Linked DNA regions of Schizosaccharomyces pombe. Changing the gene in region 1 together with any one later gene gives a genetic interaction. Each region holds a gene or a part of one and is shown on either strand. Other genes may lie near its edges.

Region 1 (4,692 bases):
AGATATACACGATATGGCAAAATTGGAGCCGAATGCATCAAGAAAGCTGGCATCAACCGTAATTACTTACGAAAAGTGTAATTTTGAATGAAAACTTATATTTACATCTGGAGAGATTCAAACAATTTAAGCAGCTGAGATATAAGGTCATTTGCATGAGATAACAAATGGTTGTTAATCATATTCATAAATATACGAATATAGAAGGATATCTCTATTTCCGTATGCTAAACGATATGTGTAGAAATTCCTGCGAGTATCGAAAAGTCCAGTTATCTGTATTCAGGAACATATTGCTTCATAGTCCCAAGTGTATCAGATGGAAAAGCTGAACGAAAGTAAACTATTGAAGACATAAAATTGAAATAAAGGTGTAAATAATAAAGGAGAAACATATGCCGGGTAAATTATGCAAACTATGTAGATTTAATTAATTGGCAAGAATCATTTGAACGAAATCTAAAGGAAGCAGTTAGTATAATTAAGTATAGGTAGTTGATTGCCGAAGCCCAGAGTAGTAATAGAGCATACCGTGATAATTAACCATGCCATCTTTTACGGGAACACCCTTTAATAACTCGTCCATTTCTTCGTTGCTGAGTTTTTCACCCAAAGAAGTTAAAACTGATACAATTAGTTTCGCATTTTTTTATCAATCTGAAAAAAGGATAGATCTCTATAAATACATACCATAGCGCAATTCACCCACTCCAATCATGCCAGTGGCATCTTTATCAAACACCTGGAAGCCCTTCACGAATTCCTCTGGGTCACCAGGCATATCAAACCCATTGGGACGATTTAACACTTGAAGGAATTGTTCCATATCGACTACCAATTAGTATTGTCACTTAATGCACGGCTAAGGAGTATAACTCTCCAAACCCATAACAAGAAATCATACCTTCTGCGGGCAAAGTAGATTCAATTTCAGTAATCTCAGCCAGCGTAGGATTTTGTCCACACGCTCTTAAAAGATCACCAATGGACGTTTTGGGGATGCGACCAGTTCCATGGCGGTCAAATAAAGAAAAAGCTATCTTTTCGTTAATAAACATTTTGAAATGATTTCAAAAAGTAGTTATTACCTTGTTTATAAGGTGAATCGTCTGTCGACATGTTTGACTATTCTAAATGGATTGTTAGGATGAAGGTAAGTGTACTAAGTCGACTGTAATCTGTGTACACGCACCTATAAGCCCCATAGCAACCGTTGCCATGATAATGTTTACTGTATAGCGATCTGTTTAGTAATTTACTAAAGAACGTAGAGCTATGTAAACCAGCTTATATGAACAGAATTGTCATTTACTTTGCCAGATTTTAATTTAGAACATCATTCGTATACAGAATATGAATAGTCATACTAATGTCGAGCTACTTGATAAATTATGAAATGGCTGGCGATTTCACTATTTCTAGTGCAATACAAAATACGAGAGTCACCGGAACACGAGAAATACAGTACTGATGCACTTCATAAATTCAATAATCACATCAGAATATCAGATATCATTAACTTGTTAACCTCAAAAGACTAATCTACCGGAAAGCCAACGCTGTCCACCAGACTTCTAATTTTCGGCGTTTGTGTACCAAAAAGGCAGTCACAGATGGTATATCTAAATTTTCGGGCTCACAAAATATGCATTGAGTAAAAGTAAAATAAACGAATCAATATGTTTTTATATGTTGCTTTAATGCGTGGTTTATATAATTGAGCGAATCTTGGAAATAAGTATTTTGATAAGCAATGTATATATTCTCATATCCCAGTGGTACATGACAGTAAACATTGTAGGAAACGTAATTATTAAATATTATATATCAATCCCTTTTAACATTAATTTATGAATTAATAAGAAACCGAAAAAAGGCTTTATTTTATGTTTTTACGCTCAACCTTCAATTTACTTTCAAGTAATTAAATAGCAAGTGAAATCTAGAAATTGATACAAAACAAAGGACTTATAAATTTGAACAAATTTTTAAGCGATGATGTCCAGAAATTGCCTACTACTTGTTTCGCAGTTCCGATGACTTAGAGCCATTATCACTGGATCATCTTATTACTGGACTACATATATTTTTCGTTGGCGCTGCTTCGAACTCAGACAGAACCAACCTTCGTCGTAGTAAAGGACCTTTAATAGTGTTTACTTACTTGGCATTCAACAACTTAGGAAGCACTCTTTGACCTAAATTTATTAATTCTATTTAATAAGCCATGTCTCCGGTAAGTAACCCCAATTGGGCATCCAAAGAATTTTGCTAGTAAAAATTTTCATCAGTCGGAGAAACAGTACTGAAAGTTATCTTATTGAGTTATATAGTAGATTTTACTATGCGGATAACAAATTTGTTTTTGCTGATGAATTTTTAGGCAATTGAAATTTTAAATTTTTTTGTTTCTTTTTTTTGAAATTTTTATTGCTTTATGTTGATTGCTATGTCCAGCATGTTTGGTCTTTTTTTTTAATGTCAATTTGCTAACATTATTCAATTAGGTTTTTTTACCCAGCGGTGAAACTTACGATCAAGAGCATCTTGATGACAACCGTGTCTTAGGTTACAACCCTTTGGTTCCTGCCGCTTTGGTTCAACAAGAGATTCCTGTTTCTGAAACTTCTCGCAAAGTCATCACTGACTCCAGAAAGGAGATTCAAGCTATTCTCAACAAACAAGATGACAGAATTATCGTTGTTGTCGGTCCTTGCTCCATTCATGACCCTAAATTGGCCATGGACTATGCTAAGTTGCTGAAGCCCAAAGCTGACGAGCTTCAGGATGCTTTGTGCGTTGTCATGCGTTGTTATTTGGAGAAGCCCCGTACTACTATCGGATGGAAGGGTTTGGTCAACGACCCTAACTTGGATGGTTCTTTTGCTATCAACAAGGGTATTAGGATGGCTCGTCAAATGTATTGCGACGTTACCAATTTTGGCATTCCTTTGGCCAGTGAGATGTTGGACAACATTTCTCCCCAATTCTTCGCCGACTTACTCAGTTTTGGTGCTATCGGTGCTCGTACTACCGAGTCTCAATTACATCGTGAATTGGCTTCTGCCCTTTCCTTCCCTGTTGGTTTCAAGAATGGTACTGATGGTACTGTTGGTGTGGCGATTGATGCCATTGGTGCTACCGCCCATCCTCACACAATGCTAGGAGTTACTAAACAAGGTCTCGCCGCTATTACCATGACCAGGGGCAACAAGGATACCTTCATCATTTTGCGTGGTGGTAAGAAGGGTCCTAACTATGATGCTGAGCACGTTGCCGCCGTTCGCAAAGATCTTGAGAAGGCCAACCTTCCTCCTCGTATCATGATCGATTGCTCTCATGGCAACTCAAGCAAGAATCATTTGAACCAACCAAAGGTCTCCAAGAGCATCGCCGAACAAATCAGAAATGGCGACTCTTCCATTGTTGGTGTTATGATTGAATCTCATATCAATGAAGGTCGTCAAGATGCTCCAATCCGTCCTGGCGTTAAGGATACTCTCAAGTACGGTGTCAGTATCACTGATGCTTGTGTTAGCTGGGAACAAACTGCTCCAATGCTAGACGATCTTGCTGAAGCTGTCCGTGCTCGCCGTCAAAACCAAAAAAGTAATTAAGACATATAAATGTTATATTCAGCAGTTTTAATTTTTTTAATTTTTGAAACTTATTTTTTCGTAACATACAACAACTGAACAATTTTGGCTTAAATACGGGTTCTATTTATTTTTTTTTGTTTTTTTTTTCTTATATCGTACACAGCTTCTACCAATAACACCTTCGTTTTTAAGAATTGCTGTGCAAGTTTTGCGAAATGTTTGATCGTTTCATATGTTTCTAATCGATCTCCTTTAGCTTGTAATCAGCCATAGGCACATTGGACACAAAATTTAAAACGTCTATGAGTACAGTTGTACAAAGATCAAGTTTATTAGTAAACAATAAAAGAATGCAACATCTATTTAAATAACCTAAATCACAACAAACTATAGCCAGAGATTAATCATAATAAACGAAGTAAAACCGTACAAAAGCAAACCAGAATCCAAAACAAATACATTCCATAAGTTGCTATTTAATTTTTGCGTTCAGCAGTTACACTGACCCATCGATTCGTGGAATCACTATTGGGCTCCTTTTTCATTTCTTCTGCTGCATTTAAGGCCAAATACTTTCTTTGTGCTAGTACCAAATCGCGTAAAAGCTGAGGACTTGGTTTTTTGGCATGCATAAAATTACAAAGGCCACCCCGCTGACATTCCGAAGTTTCGTGTTGCCGGCAACATGCCTCGCGAAAATCAGTTACAGGAGATAACTCGGCGTAGACTGGTCTTTGGGAATACCATCGGGAATTTAAATCATCAATAGCATTTTGGGCAGACTCTTCATACTTGAATCTTACATAAACATTTCCGACTAAGTGATCTCCAACATTGTCACAGACGACTAATTGTTCAACTTCACCGTATTTTGAAAACTCACAAAACATGTCCTCGTAGAATGCATCAAATTGTTCTGCAAGTTCACGCTGCGTGAACTTTTTGCCATTTGGTTCATGAATTGGGTTTTTATACATGTTGGGACATAAGATCGTTTGACTAAAATTTGGTTTGACATGTTTACGAGAGCAGCGTTCCCCATGTCTACAAGCTCCTATTTTATAATAGAATGAGCAATTGACTTTATCTTGCT
Region 2 (4,126 bases), on another chromosome or scaffold:
CGGATGTCAAAGACATTTTCTAAAAAGTTAAAATATGAACGGGGAGTAATAGAGATGGGAGTAGTTAGGTGTGCTTTTTGACTGAATGTTGACGTTGTAGGCGAATTTTACCAACGATTACATTTGCTAATAAAATATGTTAAAATAAAAATTGGAAGATGAGTTGAAATAAACGGTTCTATAAACAAAACTCATTTAAAGAAAGAACTGGCAAACAGATTATGTCAACATATCTCATCTAATATCGAGACTACTGATAAAAAAATCTAATTTGCTAATGACTACAAGCTTTTATTGTTTACTCTTTGTTGCTTACAGTTCTAGTCAAAGGAGGTATTTTATTTTCGTATTTCGCTGTACATAGCATAATTTCATGAAATGCTTTTCTCTATAAATATGCTTTTATAAAGAACTAGTTAATAAAAAATTGCTTATTTCTAAGCTCTTTTAGGATTAGTAATATATAAAAAGGAAGATAAGTATTTTTATCCCTTTTTAACTGGATTGTTATTACTATAAAAGAAAGACTCTTACGGTTGATAATAAAAGCGTAGAGATCAGAAGATAAAAGTAGAATTCACCGCCTATATTTCCTTTGGAATAAATATCCAACAGTATACTTACTATTATAGAGAGAAAATTAATTTCCCTTTGCCCTTTATCATATAAAATGGTTCTTTTTATGCTGAGTGCCTAGCATAATTCCTTCCTTTTCGAAATATCAAAAGGCTTGTGAGACTTCAATTGGTAAATGCTTTAAAGTGAGTTATTACTAGCTCGCTTCAACCACTTCAGCTTGATTCTCCAATAACCGAGTTTTCAAAAGTACTCATTCTTGCAATTGCTATAAAATTTTTATCTTTATTTATACCATTACCATTGTAATATTGTTATAAGGCATCGCTTTACTTACTGAACATAAAAAAAATCTTCATCATAAAATTAATTAAATGTCAGAATAGAAAAAAGTGTTTAGAGGGTCCAACCGTACAAACAAACAACTTTTACGTTTTTAACATTTTCATTTCTTCAATAACCCCACAGTTGTTTTAAGCTATTACTTAAGCGAGGGCTGCACATGACAATGTGGCTAGTATACCCTTTATATACATTTTGAATATGCATATGAAACCCATTATATTAACGCTGGAATAGCGGGAATGCTTGTTTATTATATTAATTTATTCTATTGGAATGAATAAATCTTTTTTCTGGACATTTAAGAACGGCATGAAACAAGTAGCTCTAATAAATTAAATTGTTGGATCTTACTAAAGACTAAATATTAATAATAATTTTCTCCCAAGCTATTTATATACATATTAGAAGCAATTTGCAAAGATAGCAGACTAATACTCTTCAATGCCCAACTTCTTATTAGTGATATACATGTAAAAATATCTTTATTATGCAATATTATGTAGCAGCTCGTACAATGTTTGCACATCTTTACACAATAGTATTCATTTTGTATTACATTATCATTTATAATTCCATTTCACAGAGAGTAGGCATTGCTATTATATAATATAAATTTATATAAAACAAAAAGACTGCAAAATCATTTCCAACTGAAACTTCGTTCTTTAGTTCTATTAAATTATTAAGTATTGGAATATCAGATTTTTGTAAGTTCAGTAATAATAATATCATTATATTACACCGTTGTATTATTAATCGCATAATATTACTGTAACACTTTGTCCGTAATTTGCATCGTTATTTCAGTTAACAATTGTGGGTCCAAAATCTTAAAGTCTAATAGCGAACTACACCAGGTTTGCAACTTCATTCATTTTTTTTAATTCCAATGTAGTCGTGCCGAAATCAGACTTTGGTTTGGTGGTAGCCGGGGTGCTTAGTGTTAGCAGATATCCGGATTGATTGTATATAAATATCTGCTGCTTCTTGCGCTTAGAATAGTCATCTTTTGACTGTTTATTTTAGACTTTTCCTACTTCAAATAATCAAAGTTCGTTGATTGAATAGACTACCGTTCGTTTCAACCCGCTTTTAAATATTCGATCGTTATTTTTTTTGCTATTGAATCGCTGGTCGTTGGTTGATTCATACACAGTAAATTTCTTTCTTGTGGTTTTATTGGGTCTGCTTGGGTTACATAAATTCATTGTTTTTTCTCGATGAAGTTAAGTGGTATTTCTCTATGGCTTTTGGCCGCATCCATCGTTCATGCTGGTAAATCTCAATTTGAGGCATTTGAAAATGAGTTTTATTTCAAGGACCATCTTGGAACGATTAGTGTATATCATGAACCCTACTTTAATGGGCCCACTACCTCCTTCCCCGAATCTTGTGCAATTAAACAGGTTCATTTGCTTCAGCGTCATGGATCTCGAAACCCGACTGGGGATGACACTGCCACTGATGTCTCTAGTGCGCAATATATAGATATTTTTCAAAACAAGCTTCTAAATGGCTCAATTCCGGTAAATTTTAGCTATCCTGAAAATCCTCTTTACTTCGTTAAACATTGGACTCCTGTGATAAAGGCTGAAAATGCCGACCAGTTGTCCAGCAGCGGTCGAATTGAACTTTTTGACTTGGGCCGTCAAGTTTTTGAGCGCTACTATGAGCTTTTCGACACTGATGTCTACGATATCAATACTGCTGCTCAAGAACGTGTTGTCGACTCTGCAGAATGGTTTAGTTATGGAATGTTTGGCGATGATATGCAGAACAAAACCAACTTCATCGTTCTTCCGGAAGACGATTCTGCGGGTGCAAACTCCTTAGCTATGTATTACTCTTGTCCCGTTTATGAAGACAACAATATTGATGAAAACACTACTGAAGCCGCCCATACTAGTTGGCGTAATGTTTTTCTCAAGCCTATCGCCAATCGCTTAAACAAATACTTTGATAGCGGTTATAATCTTACGGTTTCGGATGTTCGCAGTCTTTACTATATTTGTGTATACGAGATCGCTCTCAGAGATAACAGCGATTTCTGTTCACTCTTTACTCCCTCTGAATTTTTGAATTTTGAATATGACAGTGACCTTGACTACGCATATTGGGGTGGTCCCGCTTCAGAATGGGCTTCCACATTAGGTGGGGCTTATGTTAATAACCTTGCAAATAATCTTCGTAAGGGTGTGAATAATGCTTCCGATCGTAAGGTATTCTTAGCGTTTACCCACGACTCTCAAATTATTCCAGTCGAGGCTGCTCTTGGGTTTTTCCCCGACATTACTCCTGAGCACCCTCTACCGACTGACAAAAACATTTTTACATACTCATTAAAAACCTCTTCGTTCGTTCCCTTCGCAGGAAACTTAATTACTGAACTTTTCTTATGTTCTGATAATAAATACTATGTACGCCATCTCGTCAACCAGCAAGTATACCCCCTTACTGATTGCGGTTATGGTCCTAGTGGTGCTTCAGATGGGTTATGCGAGTTGAGCGCTTACTTGAATTCTTCGGTTCGTGTTAATTCTACCTCTAATGGTATTGCTAATTTTAACTCGCAATGTCAGGCGCATTCCACCAACGTTACCGTCTACTACTAGACTTAGCATCTTATATTATTGTTAACACAATTGGGTCCTTAGGAATAATATAGATAATTTTTAACTATAGTAATAGCTTATGTATAAGACTTAGGTATTAAGGAGGAAAAGTAGAGCGAACAGAAAGTGAGCATTTATATATTCAAGAAAGACTTACGAGACATAGTATAAACGAGTTGTGTCAGTGTTTGAACAAAAAAGGAAATACTTATAGTTTTAAATGCCTAGTACGAAATCTATAACCTTCACTCGTACCGCCTTTAGGTGAAGCTAATTCTTCAATTCGACTTACTTCAAAGCCTTTCAAGTGACTCCGTAGCTTTTGTAATTCCTTTCCAAATCATTAATATTAATAGGTCGGGATAAATCTTAAACATTTCTCAAGATATAACGCGTACATTAACGATTCCTTTTGGCGTCAACAACTCACCTTTTACCACACACGAACGACACAAAAGTTTAATAGAATTCATTTAAAATATTTGAAAGTCATGTAATTTGCCAAAAAAAAAATCCCTAGTCCTCCTTTTCCATTACACGGATAAAAGAATCAATCAATCCCTTTTTTTAAACCCTTTAATATCTGTAGCTCT

Evidence for each region. Genes that interact genetically often act in the same process or in processes that back each other up.
Region 2: mutations in SPOM_SPAP8A3.07C (region 1) and pho4 together harm fitness more than expected from each alone (negative genetic interaction), as found in Schizosaccharomyces pombe (one large-scale study listed by BioGRID).

Annotation. Positions count from the first base shown.
Region 1 is NC_003424.3:5,325,645-5,330,336, reverse strand, and holds SPOM_SPAP8A3.07C (phospho-2-dehydro-3-deoxyheptonate aldolase), read left to right. Parts: upstream 1-2,112; 5' UTR 2,113-2,227; coding exon 2,228-2,236; exon of another isoform or gene 2,237-2,507; coding exon 2,508-3,617; 3' UTR 3,618-3,951; downstream 3,952-4,692. Other genes in the region: myosin II light chain cdc4, read right to left, coding at 431-459, 532-624, 691-831, 905-1,036, 1,089-1,119; U2 auxiliary factor small subunit Uaf2, read right to left, coding at 4,076-4,692. UniProt on the Schizosaccharomyces pombe protein: Stereospecific condensation of phosphoenolpyruvate (PEP) and D-erythrose-4-phosphate (E4P) giving rise to 3-deoxy-D-arabino-heptulosonate-7-phosphate (DAHP).
Region 2 is NC_003423.3:444,824-448,949, reverse strand, and holds pho4 (thiamine-repressible acid phosphatase Pho4), read left to right. Parts: upstream 1-1,921; 5' UTR 1,922-2,141; coding exon 2,142-3,533; 3' UTR 3,534-3,626; downstream 3,627-4,126. Other genes in the region: nuclear membrane organization protein Apq12, read right to left, coding at 1-16. UniProt on the Schizosaccharomyces pombe protein: May dephosphorylate thiamine phosphates.